Linked DNA regions of Cricetulus griseus. The protein of the gene in region 1 interacts with the protein of each later gene in a pairwise test. Links are inferred from orthologs where the notes say so. Each region holds a gene or a part of one and is shown on either strand. Other genes may lie near its edges.

Evidence for each region.
Region 2: the proteins of Spdef (region 1) and Nkx3-1 interact in a two-hybrid assay, tested with the Homo sapiens proteins (2 studies listed by BioGRID). The link is inferred for Cricetulus griseus from reciprocal best matches to the Homo sapiens genes SPDEF and NKX3-1.

Annotation. Positions count from the first base shown.
Region 1 is NW_023276806.1:232,853,792-232,860,814, forward strand, and holds the end of Spdef (SAM pointed domain-containing Ets transcription factor), read right to left. Parts: intron 5,807-7,023; 5' UTR 5,781-5,806; coding exon 5,375-5,780; intron 3,828-5,374; coding exon 3,630-3,827; intron 2,875-3,629; coding exon 2,827-2,874; intron 2,727-2,826; coding exon 2,580-2,726; intron 682-2,579; coding exon 503-681; 3' UTR 73-502; downstream 1-72. UniProt on the Homo sapiens protein: May function as an androgen-independent transactivator of the prostate-specific antigen (PSA) promoter. Binds to 5'-GGAT-3' DNA sequences. May play a role in the regulation of the prostate gland and/or prostate cancer development.
Region 2 is NW_023276807.1:224,106,304-224,112,904, reverse strand, and holds Nkx3-1 (homeobox protein Nkx-3.1), read right to left. Parts: upstream 3,385-6,601; coding exon 3,090-3,384; intron 2,231-3,089; coding exon 1,806-2,230; downstream 1-1,805.

The DNA.
Region 1 (7,023 bases):
GACCATAGTCACCTTTGACCCCTGCTGGCCTCTTGGCTGTGCCATCCACAGCCAGACACTGGGGACCTGTCAGTTATCTTGTATGTTTATTATCCATTCCTAGGGCACCCCTGGGTCCCCAACACAGGGTACAGACATTTCTTAGCACCATGCCAGTCATGTTACAGGATGGGTGGCAGGGGCAGGAAGCAGTAACGTCATTGTCCTGTGAGTTGCCTTGGTCCGGTCTCTGTGTGATGTAGGTGGTTCTCTACGAATCCCACAGTCCAAGCCTGGGATGGGAACTTCTCCATTGTGAGCAGTCTTAGCTCCCAAGACCCTCCAGGGGTCTGTGTACTTGAGCAGTATGACCTGAAGAGGGACCCAGAGAGCTCATGTGTAGCCCCATACAAGTGACCTTCTCTGTGACCTTGGATTCTGGGGATTCCGATTGGGCAAAGGCCCAGGCCAGCAGGAGAGTGGCTGTCTGGAGCAGGCAGTGGGCCTCCAGCCTCTGTGGCTCTCAGACAGGATGTACAAACTGGTAGACGAGGCGCTGAGAGATGTCAGGTTTGCGAATGATCCCCTTCTTGTAATACTGGCGAATGGAGCGACTTAGCTTATCATAGTTCATGGCCGGCCGGTTCTTACGCAGGCCCCACAGCCGCGCCACCTGTGCGGAGTCCTCAATTTTGAAGATGCCTAGGGGAAAGGAGCGTGGGAAGAGAGGAGGGGCGTGTGGAGGTCGAGGGAAGGAGAGAGACAAGATCCGTGGGTCACTTTGGGGGAAGCGTAAGGGATACATGCTGGGAGCCTCTCCAGCCCTAGGCTCGGGACAGGCCGTGAGAGGCAGCAAACATCTTTCTTCCTTTCTTTCTTTTGGAGACAGGGTCTCTCTACATAGCCTTGGCTGCTCTGGGACACTGGGATTAAAGGCATGTGCAAACGCATTCAATAATTTCACTTTTATTACTGGTTGAAATTCCAGCTTAGTGTTAGATTGAATGCAGGCTGAGTACCCCTAGTCTGAAATTTGGGGTGAGAACCGCATCAGAGTTTAAGAGTTTTAGGATTTAGGACTATTTGACAGACTTTCCTGGCCAGAAGTCCATGATGCTGGTCTGAAGAGTTTGCATTTAGGGAGCATTTAGGAATTTTGTATTAAAGGTCAGGCAACCTACATCATGAAAGTGAAATTCACTTGTTTTTTAAATATTTTGATTCTGGACCGAGAACATTTAATATATACAGGGTTCACATTGTGTCTCTGGTAGACACCATGAGTCTCTCTAGGTTGAAACTATGATTTTTCTTTTGATTTTTTTATACTCATTTACTTATTGTTCATGACTATGTGAAAATGTGCCCTGGTGTACACACATGTCAGAAGACAATTTGCAGGAACTGTTTCCCTTTCCATCCGGCGGGATTGAACTCAGGTCTTCAGGCTTGGTGGCAAGTGCCTGCCCGAACTGAGCTGTCTCACCGGCCCCCAAAACATGATGTTTTATGGTTTTTAAGATTTGATAAAGGTTTATTATTTCATGTGGATGAATGTTTTGCTTGTGTGTGTATGAGTGCGCGCCTGGTGCCCGCAGAGGTCAGAGTGGGGGCATCAGATTCTTGGTGCTGGAGTTAGAGTTGAGGACAGCACATGGTGCTGGGAACCTCGGCCCTCTCAAAGACCAAAAATACTTTTCAAAAATTTTTATCATGGCCAGGCGTTGGTGGTGCATGCCTTTAATCCCAGCACCTGGGAGGCAGAGGCAGGCGGATCTCTGTGAGTTAGAGACCAGCCTGGTCTCCAGAGCGAGTGCCAGGATAGGCTCCAAAGCCACACAGAGAAACCCTGTCTCGAAAAACCAAAAATAAATAAATAAATAAAAATAAAAAATTATCATGTATACAGTGCTCTGCCGGCATGTATGGCTGCACCCCAGAAGAGGGCACCAGATCTCATTACAGATGGTTGTGAGCCACCGGGTGGTTGCTGGGAATTGAACTCAGGACCTCCGCTGAGCCATCTCTCCAGTCCTGTCCCCCCACCCCCATCCCCCGCCTCTGTGCTCTTTTGTGGTTTTTTTTTTTTTTTGAGATAAGATCTCTCTATGTAGACAGGGGTGGTGTAAAATTCACGGCCAGGCTCTGCCTCCCTAGCGCTGGCCTTAAAGGCCTGTGCCCCCCCACGCCCTTCTCTCAAGTTCGCACTGTGCTCCAGGCACGGTGAGGCGCTGAAGGAGTCTCAGTACAGGGGGAAGTCTGGTGAAGCCAACGAGGATACCAAGAGCACCCTAAACCTCAAAATCCTTGAAGTTGCAGGGGTGTGGATCTCTGGGCACATTTGGCCCAGGGTGAAGGTGGAGTCAGTCGAGGCCACACCCCCAGCGCCCCTCCCGGATGGGGCCACGCCCCAATCAGAGCCCTGCGCCCATTGCCCGTCGCACCTCTGCCTACCAGAGGCCCCGCCCCCTTGCCCCCTCTCCCAGCTGTTGCTCCACCCCACAGAAACCCCGCTTTGCCTCCCCTCCCCACCCTGCCCCTGGGACAGAAGCCCCGCCCCTCCGGGCAGGATGAAGGATGGACGTGTGGGCGGGTTGTACCTTTCTCCTTGTTGAGCCAGCGGATGAAGCGGCCGTAGCTGTGGGGCTTGAGCAGCAGCTCTTTGAGGAACTGCCACAGGTGGATGGGCTGCCCTGAGCATGACGAGTCCACCTCGCCCTCTGTCCAGCCCTCCTCGCTGGTGGAGGCTGCAAGCCAGGGGGCAGCGTGAGTGGCAGCCGCGACCACCCACTCTCCCGGGCAGCCTCCCTCAGCCCCACCAGGCCTTCCTGCGCCTGCCCGGCTCACCGCAGTAGTGAAGGGCCCCGGGCGAGGTCCTCTCCTTCATCCAGGCCGCTGTGGGACAAGGAGGGGAGGTCGGATGACACCTGTGCCCGGGGGCCCACAGCTCCCTGCCTCCCGCCCCTCTAGGGTCCCAAGGTACTAACAAGGGGTGGGGATGTCAGAGCTGCGGCTCACTGCACGCCTCCATGTGGAGGGGCTTCCCTTTCCTCACTGTGAAATGGGACAGGGACCTCCCTTGCGGCTGTGGCTAGGTGGCAGGCGCCGAGGCCTGGCTTTTGCATCAGGCCTTCCCCTCCAGTGAGCCAGGCGGCCACCCGCTCTGCCCACTGCTAGGCCATCAGCCGGGGACAAAAGCCCTTCTGCTCAGGTCACATTCACTGGTCAGGTGCCTGGGTCGGGGCAGACAGTGACCGCTCACAGCGTCACCTGAGTGGGCCCTGTCCCCCATTCATCCCAGACCTCTAAGGCAAGGGGCCTTGACCCAATGAGCACTTGTAGCATCCTCCACAGTGCCGATGAGAGAGACACAGGTGTGCCCACACTCTTGTAGAAGTCAGAGGGCAATTTGGGAGAGTTCATTCTCTCCTATCATGCAGATCCCAGGGATCGAACTCAAGTTGTCAGGCCTGGAGGCAAGCACCTTTATCCACTGAGCCGCCCTTCGTCAATAAAACATAAAGCTAACCTTAAGAAGGGTTTTCCCTTTAAAAGGGAGAGTAAGAACCGGGCACCGGGTGCCTGCCTGTGATCTCCGCATAATGGCCTGGAGCTAGCAGGGACTTGGCCCGAGCTGTCTCATCTCTCACCTGACTTCCAGATGTCCAGGTGGGCATGCAGCACGTCTCCACCCAAGGGTGCACGCTGACGGAACTGCTCCTCCGTCATGGCGCACAGCTCCTTGCCGCCCAGCTCCTGGAAGGCCTTGCCTGCTGGAGGCAGCCGGTACTGGTGCTCTGTCCACAGCAACCACTTCTGCACGTTACCAGGGCTCCAGTCCCCAGGGTCTGGGCAAGAGACAGCATCCTAGCTGGGACAGTTTGTGAGCAGCACCCAACACCCATGTGGGGCTTTGTGTCCAGGACCCTGAGCTCCTAAGCCTTGAGGGGCCCTGTGGTGGCAGGCATTCCACAAAAAAGGAAGTGAGAAGGAAAAGCCACCGCCCTAGCACAAGCTCGCTGCCTCTGTAACCCGTCACGTTCAGGTGTCTGTCTGTCCAGCCTCCCACAGGGCCTTTCTGGAGACCCTAGCTCTGAAGGGGACACTGACATTCAACCACAAACAGCCAGATACCACTTGCCATCCACATTCTTTTCAAGGAGAAAACCCACCCGGGAACCCTTCCATCCTGGAATTTTAGAAAAGGGGAAACTGAGGCACATGGGGGGTGCATCCCTTGTCCAATGCTTTGCACACAGCTGGGCTCATAGCAGCTGCCCCAAATGGCTATGGATCAGCGGAGGGTAGAGAATGGATTCACCAGCTATGTGTCCCCTGGGAAGCTGCTCTCAGGGGCACACAGCTGGAACCAGACTGGGTCACAGTGGCAGTGAGGCCTCCAGGGGAACACTGGTTCAAGCCAGTGTCCCAGCTGAGTGACCTGAAAGCCAGACAGCTCCCACTTCATAAAGCCATTTTCTCCTTTGAGGTCAATGCAATTTGTTTCTGTCCCCATTGTTCTGAGAGCATAGCCCTCCCAAGCAGGTACAGGGGACGAGGTACTGTGGGAGAGCCAGCCTCCTGGGGTAGGGCTCTCTGGAGTGTGGGAAAGTGGAGACAGGAGCTGCCTTGGATGGGGACACCACCTGGGGGCATCTAGCAGAAGGGGGTGGGGGCAGGAGCTGGCTGTGAGGGAAAGAGAAGCCCCTCCTTCCCATGGGAAAGCTGCAGGATGGAGCCAGGACTTCACTTCCCCAGCCGTACCACTCCTCATCAGAGTCCTCCCCATCAGTTGACAGTTTAATGACATCTCATCATGCCAGCTCCATAGACAGAGGGACCTCTATGTCCTGCTGACTGCCTAGTATCCTGTCCCTGAAGGGTGAAGGCTGAAGTCACGTCCAGTGCTGTCTAGGAACTGGGGTACACAAGTCCTTTAGAGGGTACACACAGAAAGTGAGGTAGGGACAAACATACTCTCGGAACTTCAGATGGCAAACCTAGCATGGCAGCAAGACAATGGGGAAGCGAGGGTGGGATGTGGGATATACAATCTCAACAGAGGACCCGCTGTCTCATGAGGACGCAGTCACCTAAGACCCAAAGAAGGCCAGGGAAGGGCTAAGGAGTTATCTACAGGAAAACATTCTAGGCTGAAGGACCAGCCAGAGCAAAGGAGACCGGAGAGGGGAGCTGAGTCTCAGAAAAGGCAGGAAGCCGGGTGACAGGACAGAGCATGGACTCTCTTGTCCGCTAAGAGAGGGCAGGTACGGTTGGGCATGGCCCTGGCTCTAGCTGCTGTGTGTCTCTGCTGCCCAAGGTGATCAGAGTCCATCTAGCAGATCCCCGCCCCGCCTGTGTCCCGTGTGGAGGTGGGCGGGAGGGAGGGTCTCACCTGCTGTGATGTTGAGCAGTTTGCATGCTGTCTCAATGTCCTTCAGGACCTCGCCCACCACCATGGACTGCACCTGCTCTAGCGAGTGTTCGTCCAGGCTGCCCCCAGATGCCTGGCTGTCGATGACCGGACACTGCTCAGGCTCCTCCAGCAGCTCCTCCCTGGCACTGGCCGCGGGTACCTTGGCTACCCAGCTGCCGTCCTCGGGGTACATGTTAAAGTAGGAGAGGTAGAAGGCAGACAGGCCCTGCTCAGGGGTGGCCGGTGGGCTGGGGCTCCATTCCCGCTTCTCAGGGCCCACTGCTCCCTCCTCTGACTTCTCCACACCTGTCCGCAGCGCTACATCTGGGGACAGCAGCAGGCAACCGGGGGACGCATTGCTCAGGCCTGGGCTGGCACTGCCCATGCTGCTGCTGAGGCTCACGGCTGCGTCTGCAGAAATGGAGGAGGAAGGAAAGTGGGTCTCATGGCTGCCCTGGCTCTGCGGGGGCCACTAAGCTGGCTTCAAGACTCGGGGCTCAGCAGGCAGTGGGCTGGGCCTGGAGAGGCCTGGGGGCTTCTGGGTCACTGGGCAGTGAGCACAGGGCTGGCTGGAAGATGATAAGGTGGAGGTGTGGGCAAAATGGGGCATGGGCAGGTGGAGGGGCAAATTTTTTAAGGTCTTAAGTAGCACAGGCTACTTAAGCACAGACCATCTGGTCCTCCGGCCTCCTGGAATTCCCAAGTGCTGGAATTGCAAGTGCACAGCACACAGGGCTGTGGGGAGGACCAGGGCGCTTTGATCGTCTCTGGTCATGCTCTAGGACCCACTGTGTGCTGACTTTTGCCTCTGCAGGGGGAAAGGGAAAGGTCCAGACTGGAAGAGTCCTACAGGTCAAGAAATGCCTTCCTGTTCTCTCAGACTAGCAGAACTTGACAAATGGAACTGAGATGAATTTCAGCTCTCTCTCTCTCTCTCTCTCTCTCTCTCTCTCTCTCTCTCTCTCTCTCTCCCCCTCCTTGCTCAATGCCCCCCTTGCTTGGTGCCCAGCCCCGCCTTGCTCAGTGCCCAGCCTTTCCCTTCCCCACTCTCCAGAACAGCCCTGCAGGCTCTGGCAGGGACAGAAAGCCAACAAAGGAGGAGAAGGTGTTGCCTCTGGTTCCAGCTTTTCCTTTCAAAGAATCCTTTAAGTGACAAGGAAGAAAAGGTTTGGGTGGGTGGGGTGGGCAGGGGCGGGGCGGGGGGGTCTGGAGCTTCGGGGGACAGAGGGCAGGCCTGGATTAATTTCAAGTCCCTTCTGTGCAAACATGTGTGTGTGCCATGGGCCCTTGGTGTTTACCGAGGCAGTGTCCACAGCCTGCTCTGTTCCTGAGTCCCCACCCTGGCCTGTGCTCACACCCTATACCCCAGGTGGTAGCCCCACCCCAGGAGAGCCTTCTCCAGTCTCCATCTCTCCTCGTTCACCCCTCAGTGGCCCTTCTGGCCCCATCCACATCCCCAGCAGCCCCACGCCTGCCACGTTAGGAGAGTCCCTGCCAGCTCCCCGGGCCCCGTGCCCAGCTGCCAGCCTTTCCAAGAGGCAGAACTCGATTCTCTGTGGCCTTATGTTTGCCTGGCCTCAGCCACAGGTGTGTGTGTGTGTGTGTGTGTGTGTGTGTGTGTGTGTGTG
Region 2 (6,601 bases), on another chromosome or scaffold:
GTGATCTAGCACTGCCACAGTGGTCAGCAGCAGGAGGCAGCAAACAATACTTTAACATGGTTCCTAGGCTGTTTAAAAAACAAAATACCAGGTGCAAGGGGCCAAATTTCTATCAACTCCTTTGGCAGTTTTGCCACCACCAGTAAATTGGCCCATTTAGAAGGAGGAAATTAAAAGATGTCTCATGGCACAGAATTGAGTGGTAGGATAAAGGGATTTCCTGGCCCCAGAAAGCCTCGTTTGTAATAGTTGTACCCTACCTTCCATGTCTCCCATTCATCAGGTTACCTGAGGCAACAGGATGGAAATGGAAGGGCTGACATTCTTTTGCCATCTACACAGTTCTCCAGAGCATTTACACGGTTTATCTGTGGATGAAGCCACCGTGATGGTGCATTTTGAAGACAGTTTCTCTTTCCTTAGAACATCTTCCTGCAAAGCTACCAGCCCCTTGCTTGCTGGTTGGCCTGGGCTGACAGCCATGCCCTGCCCAGGGCCTGTCCACCTCTCTTAGATCCCTTGCTTTGTACTGTTTTTCCTTCTGCATGAGAACTGGACAGCACTAAACCTCCTCTGCCTAAAGGGATCCCCAGGACCCCAAGGCTGTAAGCCTTTGAACTGTAATACCTAGCCCACAGCCCTGTGAAGCTGCTGTGATCTTCAACTCTCATGTCTTTAAAAAGGAATTTGATGTTGAGTATTTTTAAAGGAAAGAAAGTTGCTAGTTTTTTTTTAATTATGTCTTTTGGTCAATTTATAATCTGTAGTTATTTTTTTTAAACCAGGAAAGATAAAACTTGAGGGGGGTTTGCATATCTTAAGCTAAATAAGATACACATGCATAGATTAAAAGCCTGAACTGAGAAGTCCTGAAGGAAAGAAGGAAAAAAAAAGGAAGATCCTTTGTTATAAAATGCTATTGCTTCTGTCATAATGAAGTGTGAACCCAGACCTGAAAGCTCCCCACTAAGCTCTCTGTGAAGGCAGGAAGGGTGGGCAGAGGCCTTTTCTTCAGTCAGTCACCACTGAGGCGCTCACCTGAAGTGTGGAAACTCCCTAGGCCCTGCCTTGGACAGGAAGAGCCTGTTTCAAGGCCCACCCTGGCAGGCAAACTGTTTACACAGCTTGTCTTAAACCCCTTACTGTGTGCACCCTGCTCCACTCAGGGTGCCCTGTAAATCCTTGAATTGGTATATTACTGCAAAAAGAGTTAAGAGGTTAAACATTCCATCTCCCACCCCCTTTATGCCCCATGCCAACCTGCCTCAGTCGCTAAGGTCTGTTTTCTTTTTCTTCAAATCTTCCATTTACCCTCACTTTTACAAGGGCAGAGAGAAACACTGGCCATTGTTCAAGGCCAACAGGAGATGTTTTAACCCAAGTTTAATTCAAGAGGACACCCGCATCTAAGGGGTCCTTCTTCCCTTGGCCTTTATGTGGTGCTCAGATATGGGAGAGGATGAGGTTGCAGGGACAGAATTCTTAGGAACCTTGTAGCCATTGCATCCAAAGTCATGCTGAGGTCTAGAAACAGATGAACTTGTCTGGCCCTCTCCAGACAGGGAGCAGAGAGCAGTGACCTACAGAACACTTGGAACTGTGTGACTAGATACTAAAAATAGCCACTGCCCCCGATCTTTCACTGACCCACCAGAGAAGAATTGGAACATTCCCTGGGAACCCCCAACCGTTTGGGTCTGTACACGTCCTGTTCCCATCTCCTTGACCTCAGCCATTCCGTCTTTTCCCCAGAGACTCTCCGGGAAGGCAGTTTCTGATCTATGAAGTTGTCATCAGAACTGCTGTTACCAGAAAGTTGGACGCCAGCTGCCCAGACAATAGAGGTACGGGTAATAGGGGTAGCTGGTGTACATGGAGACCAATGAGGTGCTGGATAGGCTGTCTTCTTTCAGGGCTGGCAAAGATAAAGGTGAGCTCTTCTCCAAGACTCCCAGGTCTTCTGCCAGTTGCTTTCGCTTAGTCTTATAGCGTCTATTCTGGAACCATATTTTCACTTGGGTCTCGGTGAGTTTGAGGTTCTTGGCCAGATGAGCCCTTTCAGGAGCAGACAGGTATTTTTGATGGCTGAACTTCCTCTCCAGCTCAATCACCTGAGTGTGAGAGAAAGCAGCCCTGGAGCGCTTCTGAGGCGGCTTGGGGACCTGGGGGGTGCTTGATAAGTCTCCTGGAGTGTGTTCACAGTCCAACAGATAAGTCTCAAAATGCCCATCTGGAGAAGAGCAGAGGGGGCAGGAGAAGAAAAAAAGTTACACGTTAGTCCAGAATTCAAATCACCTTTCTGCTTTTGGCCAGCGAACAAACAACCACTGTCCTCTTTTTTTTTTTTTTTTACACCCCCCCCCACGCCTGACTATGGAACTACCCCAAAGGAGAAATGAGTAGGTTTTTATACTATGAATTCGTTTCTAATAATCAGTGTGAACTAAGCGTAGGGCTTAGTGTTTTACAGTTAAACTTTCTGCTATGTTTTCTTATGTCATTGAAAACAGGAATCTGGATACGTGTGTGTAGCAGAGAGATGGGAGGCGCCAACAAGGAAACCGAGGCGTCACGGGGGGCATTTAAGTGGGTGACTAGGGCTTATGGAGATGAGCCTGGTGGCCTGGGCTGGTGGCCAGTTCATCTTCTATCCCAATCCTCTTTCTATAACAGAGGCTTAGTTACCTGCATAAGAAGTGATGGGGTGGGGGTGGGGCGACGGCAAAAGCCGACTCGACGTTATTTTAAAGACTTAAAGGAACATCCATAATTTTATAGCTCGTGGAATGGAAACGCAAAGGGAGCCTGGGGATGAGCTTGATTTATGAATATTCATGGGTCACTATTTGTTTATCGTTTAGTTCTAGTCGCCAGCGGTAACCGGCTGGAGTCGCTGGAAAAGAGTCAAGCAGATGGCAAAGTTGTTAGCAGCCCTCAAGACTGATGCCCAACGTGGCTCGGTGCCGAGGACGGTGAAGTCCTTCCGGTGGCCACGGGCCCCGCACGCCTGCATCCAGAGCTCGGGGCCACCCGCCTGGGAATAGTCTTCTTCAGTGTAGCGCGCCCACCTCTAGGTCTATTCTGCTTACCTGTCTCGGGTTCAGCCAGCGTCTCCGCGGGGCCGGGTCGGGTATTTGGCTGGTCCGCTAGAGCCACGCCGCGACCTCCTGCTTCCTCCGGGTCTGGTGCGCGGTCACTCCTCGGGTCCGACTGGCGCGGGTGCTGCGGGCTGCTCACGTGTCCCCCGCGCCGCTCCGCGCGGTCCCGCAAGATGTCCTGGATGAGGAAGGAGGTGAGCCGCTTGGACTGAGAAGGAGGCGCTGCCCAGGGACTGCGGCCACCCGCCTCCACCCGCGCCTCTCGGGGGTCTGCCGCCCTGAGCATCCCGCCTCCACTGCGCGCCGGCTTTGCTGGCCTCCGGCCGCGCGCACTTATACCCGTGGGGAGCGCCGCGCCGCCTGCCCATTGGCCGCGGGGACACGGCTGCGCCCGGATTGGTTGCCGCGGGCTCCAGGTGACCGCGAAGAGGCCAGTCCTGCCCCTGGTAGGCTCCAGAATCCTTCCTTGATGCGCCCTTAGCCTTCTCTGGTTTCCCTCTCACCATAGGTAGCTCAAGCCCTTTCCGTAGGCTGGCCACAAACCCCAAACGCTATGTGTAAGACCTGAGTGTAGTTCTCAGAAATGGCAAAGCGTCCTGGCCCATCGAGCTGAACAAGCGGGTCTCTACCACCTACCTTAATTGTTTAAATAACAAGAGAAATGGACAGCAGAATCAGATCTACTGAGTTTAAGGCTGTCCTAGGCCTGGCAGCCGGTACACTCCAGCCCCCACTGGATTCCCAGCGGGACACATCAGGACAACCAGCAAAAATCTCACAGGGAAGGTCAAAGTAGTATTGCGGTGTTACATTTACTGAGTTGACCACGCACTGTGACCCCAGGAAACAATATTCTTAAGAAATACTCACTCACTCAAGCCGGATGTGGGCAGCGCATGTCTTTAAATTCAGCGAAAGGAGGCAGAGACAGGCAGAACGCTGTGAGTTCCAACTCAGCCTGGCTTATATAGGGAGTTCCAGGCCAGCCAGCGCTACATAATGAGACCATGTCTTAAACACCACCACCACCACCACCACCACCACCACCACCACCACCACCACCACCACCCACGCACACACAAAAAACAACAACAAACAAACAAACCAAACAACCAACCAACCCCACAAAAACAAAACAAAACAAAAAACCTGAAAAAAAAGAGATGAACACTCAAGCGCAGGCTTCCTATCTATGTCACCTATAGTATGAACTATAAAAGGAATGGGCTAAAATAGTAACATTCAGTGAAAATTAGCAAAGCCTACTCTGGTGTTCTTTTGAATTACTTTATGCAATATGTGTCTACAGTGGTCTAAGGCATCTTCCACTCAGCTGGATCTGCTCAGAAGAGTCCGTTGTATATCTGGGGAGTAGGAAAGGGAACAGGTCATGGAGAATGCAGCAACTGCGGAGGACACTGAGAGGGGTAACCAAAAGGCCTTCAGAGAAGCTGGCTTTCCTCTTGCATTTTACCTAGATGTGTTATCTTTTAAGAATGTAAAAATACATAGCTTGAAATAGTTAGAGGTTCATAGGAAATTGCAAAAATAACAACTGCAATGTCCTTCGTGGTAGCATCTTATTTTATTTATTGCATGTGTATGTATTGTCTGGATAAATTACCCTCCCTCCCCGGCCCACAGGTAAATGCTGTTTCCCAGGGTTGTACTTTGGAGAGGTGCTTTGGACCTTTAAGAGCTGCAGTCAAATCAGAGGTCCTCAGGTCATGGAGGACATAAGGATTTTAGAACCCAGTTTCCACTCCTCTCCTGACCCCAGTGTGTGAATTCTCCCACTAGCCCATGTTCCTGTCATGTGTGCTGCCTTCATCTGAGGCCCCCAAGCCTCCGACTTGAATCTCTAGACTCACAAACTAAAATAATTGTCTATTTACCTAACTATTCTGCGTCTGGTATTTGGTTGCAGTGACAGAAACCTAATGCAGGAAGTCTCATTTCTCTGCCCATGAGTCCAGTTGCTGTGTCATGAGGTGAGTGATTTGATGGTTCGTTTGGATCACCAACTTGACCAAGGCATTAGTGAGGCTCGCCTTTAGGTGTACCTGTGAGGGTGTTTGCAGAGAAGGTTAACTGGGGTGAGGAAGGGCAGATATTTACCCTGAATGTAGCTCCATTTTTGTGGGTTAAGACAGAAAAAAAAAAGAGGGGAGAAGAGAGCAAGTTGTGTCTCTTGGCTGATTGAGAAGTGAACAAACAGCATCTTGCTCCTCCCACTATGACAGGCTACCTCCTCAAACCATGAACCAAAGGAAATCTTTTCCCCCTAAATTACTTCTGTTGGATATTTGGTTACAGCGGTCAGAAAAAAAAATGGCTGACACAGGAGGTGCGAAACAGAGCTCTTCCAGTTGTCTGTGACAACTGTTTCCACAAGCAGCAAGGGTCAGTTTCTCTGCATCCTCATCAGCATTTGTTTTTACTTCAGCCATTAACATATGTCCAGTGTTGTCTTATTTAAGCTTTAGTTTTGTATTTGCAGCTGATGGCTGATGATGTTGATATCAGCCAGGCACAGGTCTTCATTGATGAGTCAGTATAAAGTTCTAGTCGAAATAAATCCCAGATGGCTCAAGGATGTAAACACAAACAGGCACTTGGGGACACCTTTTAAAATCATGCTCATTAAAGAAATGCAAATCTGTCAGGTGGTGGTGCATGCCTTTAATCCCAGCACTTGGGAGGCATCTCTGTGAGTTCGAGACCAGCCTGGTCTACAAGAGCTAGTTCCAGGACAGCCTCCAAAGTCACAGAGAAACCCTGTCTTGAAAAAGCTGAGAGAGAGCGGTAGGGAGGGAGAGAAATGCAAATCAAGGGCTGGAGAGATAGTTCAGTGGTTAAGAGCGCTTACGGCTTTTGCAGATGACTGGAGTTCAATTCCTGACACATGTCAGGCAGTTGTAAATTGCCTGTGACACCAGCCTCAGGGGAGTCGATGCCTCTGACCTCTGTATGCACCTGCATGCACATACACACACATATGCAAATATACACATCTTTTTTAAAGTAAAAATCTTTTTTTATAAAAAAAAAAGAAGACATGCATATCAAAGCCACATTGATACACTCCTTTCTATCCATCAGACTGGGAAATAGTTGTTGTTGAAGTGCCATCCGGACTGTGAACTGCTGTGGACAGAGATAAACTGATCTGCATATTTGGATGGCAACTTCACAGTATCTCCTTACACTTAAATGAACATATCCTTCAACACAGCTATTTCAGCTTTTGCCCTGGAAACTCATAAATACACAAAGTCCTGACCTGGGAACCTGTTTTTCAGTCCAGTCACAGAGAATCAATTGTGTTTATAAAAAAGTAGCTACAAGTGATCCATATAATTTACAACCAGATGTAGATAACGAGCATATATTTATTCAGTAGGACAGCTGTGCCTGCTCAGTGACATGGAGGCAGGCTGAGAGAAGGAAGAGAAGGAGAGTTGAACAGGGTCTGTTTCTTTGTACTCATTTATAATTCTTAA